3 linked regions of the Coturnix japonica genome follow. The protein of the gene in region 2 interacts with the protein of the main gene of each other region in a pairwise test. Links are inferred from orthologs where the notes say so. Each region holds a gene or a part of one and is shown on either strand. Other genes may lie near its edges.

Region 1 (3,254 bases), about 58 Mb from region 2:
TTTTGAATGAGAGGAAGAAATGAATAAGTGCATCAGAAGTGATAGGATGAAAGGATTGCTATTAAAAAAAAAAAAAATCCATCTGCAGCGTGTTGACAGGTTACTGACATTATCCATAAAGGACAAGGAAAAGCACTGACAAAAAAAATTCCTATTGATACCATCTGCATCAAAGAGGAAATGTTGCACTTTAGTAATACCATTCGTAATGTCTTCCCATCAGTACTACCTCTAAAGGGAAAGAGACATTCTATTGGATTTTTTAAAGACCAAAGTAAGTTGGCAGAAGTTCTCATCTCTGATGGTAAAGCATAGAGCTTATCTTGATGCTTATTCTGGAGCTTCTAACATTGGTGTTATATTCTTGATTTAGATCCCCTGCCTTTTGCTGAACTCTGGGAGCAGTCAAAGTTAGACAAAAGAAGTTAACAGCAGCTTTTTTATTAACTAATTTTGTGACCAGAGACATATTCCAGTAGAATGGATGTAACATCCTCTCTTGTTCTTTAATGTCCATGAGACACAGATGACTTAAGAGCTGTGCATTAAGCATCACCAAGTTTAAAAGAATGTCAGAGCTGTATCTGTACCTCTACTTATGAGCATATCTGAATTGGTTTAGCATCTGAGGAATGATCACTTCAGTAACAGGGATGCTAAAAGTTACTCAATCTGATCTTCCTGTCACAGCATTTAGAAACAGCAGTGCAGCTTACCAAATTGTACACTGGATTTTGAAATGTGGGGAACTAATGGATATTTGGTTCAAGTAACTATGCTTACTTTAGATAGGCTATTTATTCACTTATTTCCTGCCTTTCCTCCCTTACCACATTTTGCATCTGAGGATGTGATGTGAACTGAAGCATTCGGAGTGCCCCACTCCAGAGAGCCTTTCCCTTTGGGAGTCAGGAAGAGCAGGTGGAGATGGGAAGAAAGATCCAAAAGGCCCTGGTACAAAATTCCCAACGTTACTTTCATATCTGGCATGTTTGATAAAGGAGGCTGATAAGATGGTTATTAGTCTTCCCACCACCACTTAGCAGAACTTGCTTTCATTGTCTCTATTTGGTATGTGTTTCAAATATACTTATTTATTCCAGTATGCATAAATGAAACCTTGTACTCTTTGGTCTGTCAGTGTTGATGAGTGAAGGAAAAAGAAAAGCATGCTCAAGTAGTTAAAAGACGGATGGACTTTATTGATCTCTTTTTCTTTTTGCACTATAAAAACTAGAGCAAGAGAATTTAGAATCTTCGGGAGAATTTAGGACAACATCTCAGTTTAACTGGCTCATACTTCATCACTGGGGAGGAGGGATCTAGCGGGTTCTGCAGCAGGCTGTTTTTCATTTCACAATCAGCATGACTTCGTAAATTGATAAATCAACTGTGCCTATAATTTTAGGTTGCATTCTTCACCACCTGGGGAATTAAGTCCATCACATCTCTTGAGAAAGTCACCGTCTCCAGCTTTAACTGTAAATTGCAGCAATGTAAGTATATCGCCATCTTTAAAAAGCTGAGAGGTTACTGTCAGATAGCTCAAAGCTCATGTTTAAGACATTTACTCAGTCTTGTGTTTTTGTGAGAGAATGTGTAAGATACTGCCAGCATCATGGCAGCTATGAAAATTTGTTTTGTAAGATGTTTGATAGCAGCAGAAAAGCCAACCTCGGTTACTAGGATATCACTTCAAGCCTCAAGTGGGCATTCTCTGAAGCCAAGACTGCAGTCACTGTTCAGTTACTGTGATCTTTACTAAAATTATATGATATGCTCAATGTGATAAATGTGACTCTTCTGAACTTTGTGTTGCCTCAAACCTTTTACTAAGTGGTCATCAGAGTGTAAAAGTGTTTCTTACCTGCTTGAGTTCAGATGGACAACCTGAGTTAAACACCAGGTCTTGCTTTTTCTCAAACATTTTTTCTCTACTTTAACCTTAGTGTTCCTGAAGACTCCTTTAAAAATATATGCTTCGTGTTCCCAGTTTTTAGTTTTGGTTTTTTTTTGTGATGCTCAGTTAACCCCTTTCCTACTTCAGGTCTGTCTTCCTGAGAGTTAGTTGACATACATACATGTACTGAACTCTTTCTGGCATACAGCATCTCATCATAAGGATAACTTACTTGTATTCATTGAAGATGTTCCTTTGTTCTGTCCTTTGGTATCCTGTTTGTTTTAAAAGGCTTTGGTAAAGCATTTCAACTTTGTTATAATTTCCTAACAGACTATACACAAGACAGGCATCCATTCTGCTAAATTGTGTACGTGTCCTACATGAAGCAAAGGGAAAGATATTTTTTTGCTGGTATATTTGTATTTTGATGACTTCCACCATCCCTATGGTAACAAGATGCAAATTAATAATAGAAAATACTCGAGTTCGTGATTCATATGGTATAATGCACATAACATATAGAAGATACGTGGGTTTTTATCTTTTAGCAAGAATGTGTCAATATTGACATAGATTGATGTCACTGGGAATTTGGAGTTTACAGTATTGGACATGGAAATTGTATGCTGGTGCATCTTGTTGTGCTGGATTTATTTACTGATTGTTCAGTTAGACACACAATAGGGCAGATGCCAAAACTGTGAAGTATTTTTGACAGATATGTTAGTATCACCTCTTATTTTAACAAAGGACGGGGCTGTGTGTACTCTAGTTAAAAAATTAAATTAAATTTAAAAAAAAATAAAAGAAAATATTTGTATATGCAATAGGTCTGCCTTGATGCCTGCCTTTTACTGACTCATTTAGTTCTTAATGCTTTGGCTGCTATTTACATTAATTTTAATAATACTATTTTAATTTTAATAATACTATTTTAATTTTAATAATACGTTACTACTGCTACAGTAATGTAGTAATTATGGTTAACTTTAGAATTTAATTCTACTACTTCTGTTTTTACAGGTGCCGAATAAAGAGTTGATTCAGTTATGTCCTTCAGAAGCAGAAGTTCTGGAGACTTCAGAACAAAACCAAGGTGCTATTCCATTTCCCAGTAACGAGCCTCTCCTCGGTAAGATTTATTTCACTTTGGCTGTAGGAGAAAATGTTTATAATAATTCTCTATTTGTTTTAGTGCACTGATATATAACCATGTACAAATTATAAAATTTCAAGGGGTTTGTCAGTATCTTTAAGATGAGGGGACTCTTAATAGAGATGCCTTGTCTTACAGCTCTCTTCCAGTTGAGCTATGATCTTCAAATAAGGATTTGAAAGAGCATTCATCCAA
Region 2 (3,657 bases):
CCACGTTCCCATCTCATTGTTTGTGCCTTGTGGTTGTGCTGTGATGAGTGTCCCATCATCCTCTGATTTCAGAAATGACAGAGTACTGGACCTAAGCTGCTGCTGCTGTTTGCGTATGGTCTTATCTTGCAAGATCTCAGTGCTTCTTCCAGTAGCATATAAAACATAAAAAGGATCCCTGCTCTAAAATAACAAATTCTCATTTATCTTTTGTATTTAATATTCTTTTCACGATTCCACACCAGCATGCGGTGAAGAAACAGCATATCAATTATCTGCTCTGAGCATTCATTTTCTTTTACAGATATCCCTCTCCTTTATTCATTAATGCACTTTCAAACATCAATTAGTTTATTTATTGTAACCCAGTGCATGTTCTGCATGACTTTTTTCTGCTTTCCATTCTCCCATCCCGCAGCCCTTGCTGGAGGGATGCTTTCTGGTTGTTAACCAAAGGCCCTGCTGCCTCCCTGTCCCATCACAACACTTTTTGGTGCTGCAGCTCCATCTTTGCCACCAGACCCTGGTGCCATTCTGTTGCATGGCTACAGGCTCAGTCCCTTGGCAATTTCTGAACTGGGGGAAGCAAACCTTGCCTACTGAACAAACCTTAAAGCACAGCACTAGGTGCCGCCTGAATGTCAGTGGTTTGCCTTAAACAAAGTGCTCCCTATTAGAATATTTGTTTGTTTGTCTCCCTCATTGTAATAAATTAAATCCCCTACAACACAGCGGATGCTGATGACTGAATAATAATCAGCACTAATAACTCCGTTTGGGATTACACAGGTGTTGTTTGGTAACAGCGAGAATGAACGAGTTGTTCTGTGAACCTCAAAGCCAATGAAACCTGGTTTGCAGGGACTGTGCCCTGCAGGGCTGTGCAGTAGGGGGTCCTCCTTCCTATTGCCTGGCCAGAGCTCACATGGCATCACGGCAGCACGGTGCTGTTGAGGCTCTCACAACTCTGCTGCACGTCTCCAGCATTGGGCTTAAAGTAGGAAGGCAGAAGGAACTGAAAGGTTCATTTCATTAGGAAACCAAGCAAAAAATAGAGTGTCTTGCCTTTACCCAGCTACCGTTTTAATGAAACTTGCAGGAACAGAATGTCTTCGAGGCATCTGTTCTTCTGCTCAGCACCCTGCAAGTGAGGGAACACCTCAGCTTGCGTGGTTCTTTACGGATCTTTTTCTCCCTTGATTAAACTGTGATCCTCTGCAATAATAGATATCTCACAGGTTAAGTCTGTCGTGTTTGACTGTTCTTGGGAAGCTGGTACAGTCACCTGTACCATGCACTTTTCTGAGGATCCCAAGAAGTTTGCTATTACCTAAGTGAGATGAATATCAACTTTATCTGATGCTAATGGCAAAGTTAAAGCAGTGCAGTGCTTTGTTGTGGAACATTTTGCGTTAAGCTCTTTTAATGTATTATATAATTACAGATTTCTCCTTTAATTAGTAGAGCAGTCGACGATCTTGAGATAAATACTTTGGGGTACAGGTCAATTGCTATTTCTCACCGCACAAAAACAATAGAAGCTTTGTAGTCACAGGGATCAATGCAAAAATTATCAGTAAACTTTGGGTAGGAAAAAGCAAGGAAGGAGTTTCTCACCCTTTTCCTTAGCAGCTCTCATCTGGTAGACCAGCTAACTACTGTTGCTGTTAAGTGGGAAATGAGAAACCAAATATCTTACATATAAAAGATGCTGAGTAAAACAATGGAGTAATGACTTAAAATCAACAGCAATACATTTTTGTGTGCTTCACCCATCAGCATAGAGCTACAAAAAACAGCCACTGGAACAATGCGCCATCTTCGAGTTCAACAAGTCATAGCAAAATGCCTTCTTTCTTTCCTTTTCTCCTTTCTTTTCTCCTGGATGCTTCCAGCACTGCGTCTTTTCAAAGACAATTTGGATTCTTGGATGCCCTGATAACAGAAAAGCACACTGATTTTTTTTTGAAGCCGTAACACTGTGGGTTTGTCTCAAAGTGTGTTTTTTACTTTTGGAATATGAAGTTGTGCAATGCAACAGTTCCGAAGCCAATTAAAGTTATAATGAGTTTTGGTGGACATTGAGTTATACATGTAGACACCAAAGAAAACGGAGTATTTACGGCCATGTTGTCCCCTCTTTGTTTATGGAGCCATTCCATTTGGTGCAAAGCATTGCTGCTATGGAGGCTGCACTTTCTTCTTGACCCTCATTAGTGATCTCCATTCTACATTATTGTTTAGGATAGCCTTTCTCCCACTGAGCCGAGCTATTTGTTCTACCTCGTGTAAAAATAGCTTAATGAGTATTTCTTGCAGCTTGGCCACTGCACAGTGGCAGAAATCTAGAAAACGTTTGCTGTGGCGAGCTGTGGCATGATCTTATAGTAAGTAAACAGCAGAATAAACCATTGCAATGCAGCTGTTTCTGCATGGAAAAACGAAAGTATTGGTAAAACACATTTGGAATACAGCTATGTTGTGCTAAGGGCTCCAAATACAAGCCAGTGATAAAAATGCACTCATTTGCCATCCAGTTAAGATGCTCTTGATATTCTAAAGCAGCGTACTCTCAAAAATGGGCATTCCGATAATTCCTTAACAGAACAGGGTCAGTTGTAAGCAGATCACTGTAAGTGAAGCAATTTAATATATGGGCGTAAAATTGAAAATAGAAAAGATTTATCTCTGCCTAGATGGTAGTATATTACAAACACATACTTTAGCCCTTTGACTGTGCTCTGCAGTCAAAAAACTAATAACTTCTTACAGAATAGTGTTGCATGAAGGCCTGTTTTCTTTGTAAAGCCTAATTTTTCCTCTTTTTTTTTTAAGTTCTCTGCCCAGTTTAGCATGTTCCAGACCATCAAGGACCAGCTAGAGCAGCGAACGCGGATCCTGCAGGCCAACATCCGCTGGCAACAGGAGGAGCTCCAGAAGATCCAGGAGCAGCTCTGCCTGGTCCAGGATTCCAGCGTGCAGGTGCGTTGCTGCTGGGAGGGCCAAGTATCCTCCTGTGAAGCACTTGATAGGGCTGGTGACTTAAAATTAGCCCCAGGGCCTAGGTGCACTGGTGTCCGATTTTTTCACTTGCTGGGGTTGCATTGAGTAAAGAGGAATTGTCCTGGGCCATGTATGCTTAGGATGCTCCACAAGTAATGCCTCCTATTTATTTCCATGGTAAATACAACCCATACAATGAGCACAATAACACTGTTCGACAGAGCTGATTCTTGGCTACAAAACACTATTTTTCACCATAGTCAGCACTACTGGTTACACATTTTCACCAGTCATGAAGAAGCGCTCCAAATTATCTGCACCAGAGGAGGTGACCCGCTGTTCCACAGCTGCTATGAAACACTCACGCACCCACTACCTCACTGTGGTGATATATTTGCTAAAATGCAGCTTATGAAAGTCCAGTAGAGAGACACGATCAGATCTTTGAATTCAGTATCTGATTGCAACTCTATACATTCCACTTGAAATTTTTCAGGTAATATATTTGTGCTGATTGAAAATGGAGTTGAAAATATACCAAAACATTGATGCCTTTTGTTTTTGTTTGTTTCTTTTTTTTTTGCAATCTTGAAACCTGCTCTCAGATTCCTTTATCAAAATGGAAAGCATGGCTGCATATTTTTGCTGTTCACA
Region 3 (3,495 bases), on a different chromosome or scaffold from region 2:
CTCTCACCTGAAAACAACTGTCAGCATTACTTGCTCATTTCAGAGTGATTTTCAGGAGGCTGTCACAAATACTTCAACTTGTGAATAATTTTTTTTCTCTTTTTTGTTTTATTTTCCTCCTTTCCTCCCCATCCTTCCCATTCCCCAGGGCAACAGCCATCCTGGCATACTTACCCCAGGAACTCCTAGGTACTTCATGTTATGAATATTTCCATCAAGATGATATAGGACACCTTGCAGAATGCCATAGACAAGGTATGACGATTAATACATTGGGTAAATGAATTGTAAAAAATACTTGGAATTATTACTTATTAAGAAAACTACCCAAATCTGTTCAAGCTCTTTCTTTTTTGTCTATTTCTGTAAGTGCTTTAATTGAGAATGTTGTTTGCACATACCAAGCAACACGCCTCTTAGACTGCCATGGATTTATAGTGAATAATTGAAGCTTCCACTACATGAAGGGGTAAAGCTGCAGGAATCAGACTTATCTCCATGCGTGCAGGGCAGAGTTCACTGGATAGAGTTTTCTGTCAGAAGGACTCCACTTCTGCAGTCAGTGCTGCTGTTTCCCACAGAGTTACTTGCTGTCTGTTTTCAGTTTTGCAGACAAGAGAAAAAATTACAACAAACTGCTACAAGTTTAAAATAAAAGACGGTTCTTTTATTACCTTGAGGAGTCGCTGGTTCAGTTTCATGAACCCTTGGACCAAAGAAGTAGAATACATCGTCTCAACAAATACTGTTGTTTCGTAAGTATTTTAGATGTAGCAGATGCACGGGTGGGCTAAGTGCTTTGAATTACTGGGCAGATGAGGTTTGGTTTTTCCTTTCACTGGGAAAACCAGCATGTCCATCTTTGTAAGGACTTAAGAAAGATGCATTTCTAGGCTCCTATGGGATCTTCTCCCCCCTTCCATCTTTTTTTCCCTTGGGGGTTTTGCAGAGCTGCAGTGCCTTTGCAATGGAGTAACTACTTAGTAACAGTGTTTTCTTTCTGCTGTTTAGCCTTGTCAGCCCCAATGTTGCTTTGTGTGATAGTGACTCACAAGCTACTTAAACCCTGTAGCATTCCATTTTGACACACTGCACTGACTGTTCTGCAGGGCTTTCCATCACTAACAGTAACTCTTGAAATCCACAGCACCAACGTACTTGATAGCGGAGATGCAGCCTTCCCACAACTCGCAGCTTCTCCGCATAGCATGGACAGCGTGCTTCAGGCTGGAGAAGGTAACTACTTTGCCACTAGGAAAGTAGTGGCAGTTATGCCTATGTGCACACATTTGTTGCAGTGTTGCACAGAGAGCTTGTTAGTAAAGAAAAATGTGGCTTGAGGCAAAAAAAAGGGACCACTAACGCAGCTCCTGTCCATGTTGTCTGTGCTGGCAAGTGGTTCACTCAAAGTAAAGCATAAACAAGGCTGGAGAGGAGTCTGTTCAGCTGCAGAACAAAGCAGGTGTGATGAGCTATTCTTTACCAAGTCCGGACAAGAAGCTCAGCCAGATGCTCAAAGCAGGCAGATTCTGATCACCTTCAGAATGTGGCTTGCCTAGGAGCACAGAGAGATGTCTAAGAAACACAGCACAGCTGAGTCCAAGCCAGGGCTTCCTGTATGCATGAAGGTACTGAGGAAGTGGTAGAATTTAAACAAAGCTCATCTAGTTCTGACCAGCTGTGGGATTCATACCTAAATATGAATGCTGTTTGGAAAATGAAAGTTTTACCTGACCTTAGAGCTACCTTCCTTGTTTCAGGTGGCCCAAAAAGGAGCCATCCTACCGTCCCTGGAATTCCAGGAGGAACGAGAGCTGGGGCAGGAAAAATAGGAAGGATGATTGCTGAAGAAATCATGGAAATTCACAGGTAAGAGAAAATAGCATGAAGTAAGAAAAATTAGTGTAGTTCTTCATAAATGAAATTAAAGAACTCTTTCTTCAAGCTGAATACATAAGGATGTAATTGCATTTCATGAGTAGACAGCTACAGGTTCCTATTCAGGATACCTAAGACAGTCATAGCGAAAAGTGAAAGAAAGACAGAGTTACAGCCTCCTGACTTTCTGCTCTAAGAGACCAGAAATGGTAAATCCAGCCATCTCTTCTCCATCCTGTCTGAGCTGCTATGTTCATTGGGTGTCACTATTAATTTCTATAGATTGCCCTTCATTATTTTAGTTTTGGGAGTTGTTTCCCTTCCTGTAAAACTGGTCTCATCCAACAGATGCTCAGCAGCAGTAATATTTGCCATTTTGGTCCTGTCCCTCCAGTTGTGCTTGCTCTAGGCCATACACTGCCCCTCTAAGAGAACAGATTTAGCACATAATGTAACTTTCCTGTGTATCAGGATAAGAAGGAGGGAAAAAAAAGAAAAAAGCTATCACTCAGGTTGAACCAATACTCTGAAACTTGACTTCCCTTTCAGTAGTTGCAGAACACTTAATTAGCTTCAGTAGGTGTAGAAGAATACCTTACCACCTATGTTTCATTTCAAGAGCCTGGGTTAGTTCCAGTCCTTCTTGAGCAGATGTTACTATTTGCCAAAGCTGCCTTCTGTTCAGTTTTCCCAGAGGAACTCTGCCAAGGATGAGACCTCCTTCTCCACTGCTTTTCCCTGTAACTGCCTCACCTCCATTTAGTCTCAGGGTTTGTTGATTTTGTAGTTAATACATTATTCTATAATAATAACTTTTAAAAAAATAGATATTTGATCACGTTAGGGAGAATTGAAATGAGGAAATGCTGACTCAAAGGGTATTAAGTATTATGTGTATATATAGTATTATATATATATTGTATTGTATATATTGTATATATATAAATATATTTATATATATATATATAAAATGGACTGTTCTATGTACTTAGCACACTTCTCTAGCAGTAGCCCATTTAGCAAGTCTAGATTTGTGCAATGGAGACAGCTCACACTCTTAGCTGGTAGAAGCTGAGGCACAATGTAGAAGAAAAGAGGTTACTTCAGTAAGCAGGATCATTTCCTTGCTCAGTCTCAGTGAAGGGTGCACAAATAAACAAGGGAAAGGGAATTAACATGTCAAGAAGGCAAACTTTATAGACTGGGTAAGCTGGACTACTCACAAACTTGATCTTGCTGTAAATTAGAAGTTGCTATAGGTGGTATAGGTGGTTTGAATAATACTGAAAATTGAGAAAACTGCACAAATGAAGTATGCCACCTGATACTGAGGTCAGCATCCGAGTCTCCAAGTTTCTGGTGAATTCATTCCCTATTTCTCACACAATAGGATAAGAGGATCATCACCATCCAGCTGTGGTTCAAGTCCACTGAACATTACCAGCACGCCGCCGCCTGATACCTCCTCCCCTGGAAGCAAGAAGGTAAGAACCAGCTTTACAGACAGGCTTGTAATATTAGCATCGAGCACACTGAGATGATGCTTGCAAAACATTTGTGGTGCTGAACTCTTAAACTGCTTGGCTGAAGAAGTCCAGCAGCAGCTCAAAGTATTCT

The links.
Region 1: the proteins of NPAS2 (region 2) and ARNTL2 interact in binary tests that used the Homo sapiens proteins (3 or more experiments, as listed by UniProt). The link is inferred for Coturnix japonica from reciprocal best matches to the Homo sapiens genes NPAS2 and BMAL2.
Region 3: the proteins of NPAS2 (region 2) and ARNTL interact in binary tests that used the Homo sapiens proteins (3 or more experiments, as listed by UniProt). The link is inferred for Coturnix japonica from reciprocal best matches to the Homo sapiens genes NPAS2 and BMAL1.

What each region holds. Positions count from the first base shown.
Region 1 is NC_029516.1:62,652,858-62,656,111, forward strand, and holds part of ARNTL2 (aryl hydrocarbon receptor nuclear translocator-like protein 2), read left to right. Parts: intron 1-1,408; coding exon 1,409-1,496; intron 1,497-2,926; coding exon 2,927-3,035; intron 3,036-3,254. UniProt on the Homo sapiens protein: Transcriptional activator which forms a core component of the circadian clock.
Region 2 is NC_029516.1:120,177,426-120,181,082, forward strand, and holds part of NPAS2 (neuronal PAS domain-containing protein 2), read left to right. Parts: intron 1-2,835; coding exon 2,836-2,982; intron 2,983-3,657. UniProt on the Homo sapiens protein: Transcriptional activator which forms a core component of the circadian clock.
Region 3 is NC_029520.1:11,881,507-11,885,001, reverse strand, and holds part of ARNTL (aryl hydrocarbon receptor nuclear translocator-like protein 1), read left to right. Parts: intron 1-148; coding exon 149-255; intron 256-604; coding exon 605-755; intron 756-1,147; coding exon 1,148-1,236; intron 1,237-1,760; coding exon 1,761-1,869; intron 1,870-3,268; coding exon 3,269-3,362; intron 3,363-3,495. UniProt on the Homo sapiens protein: Transcriptional activator which forms a core component of the circadian clock.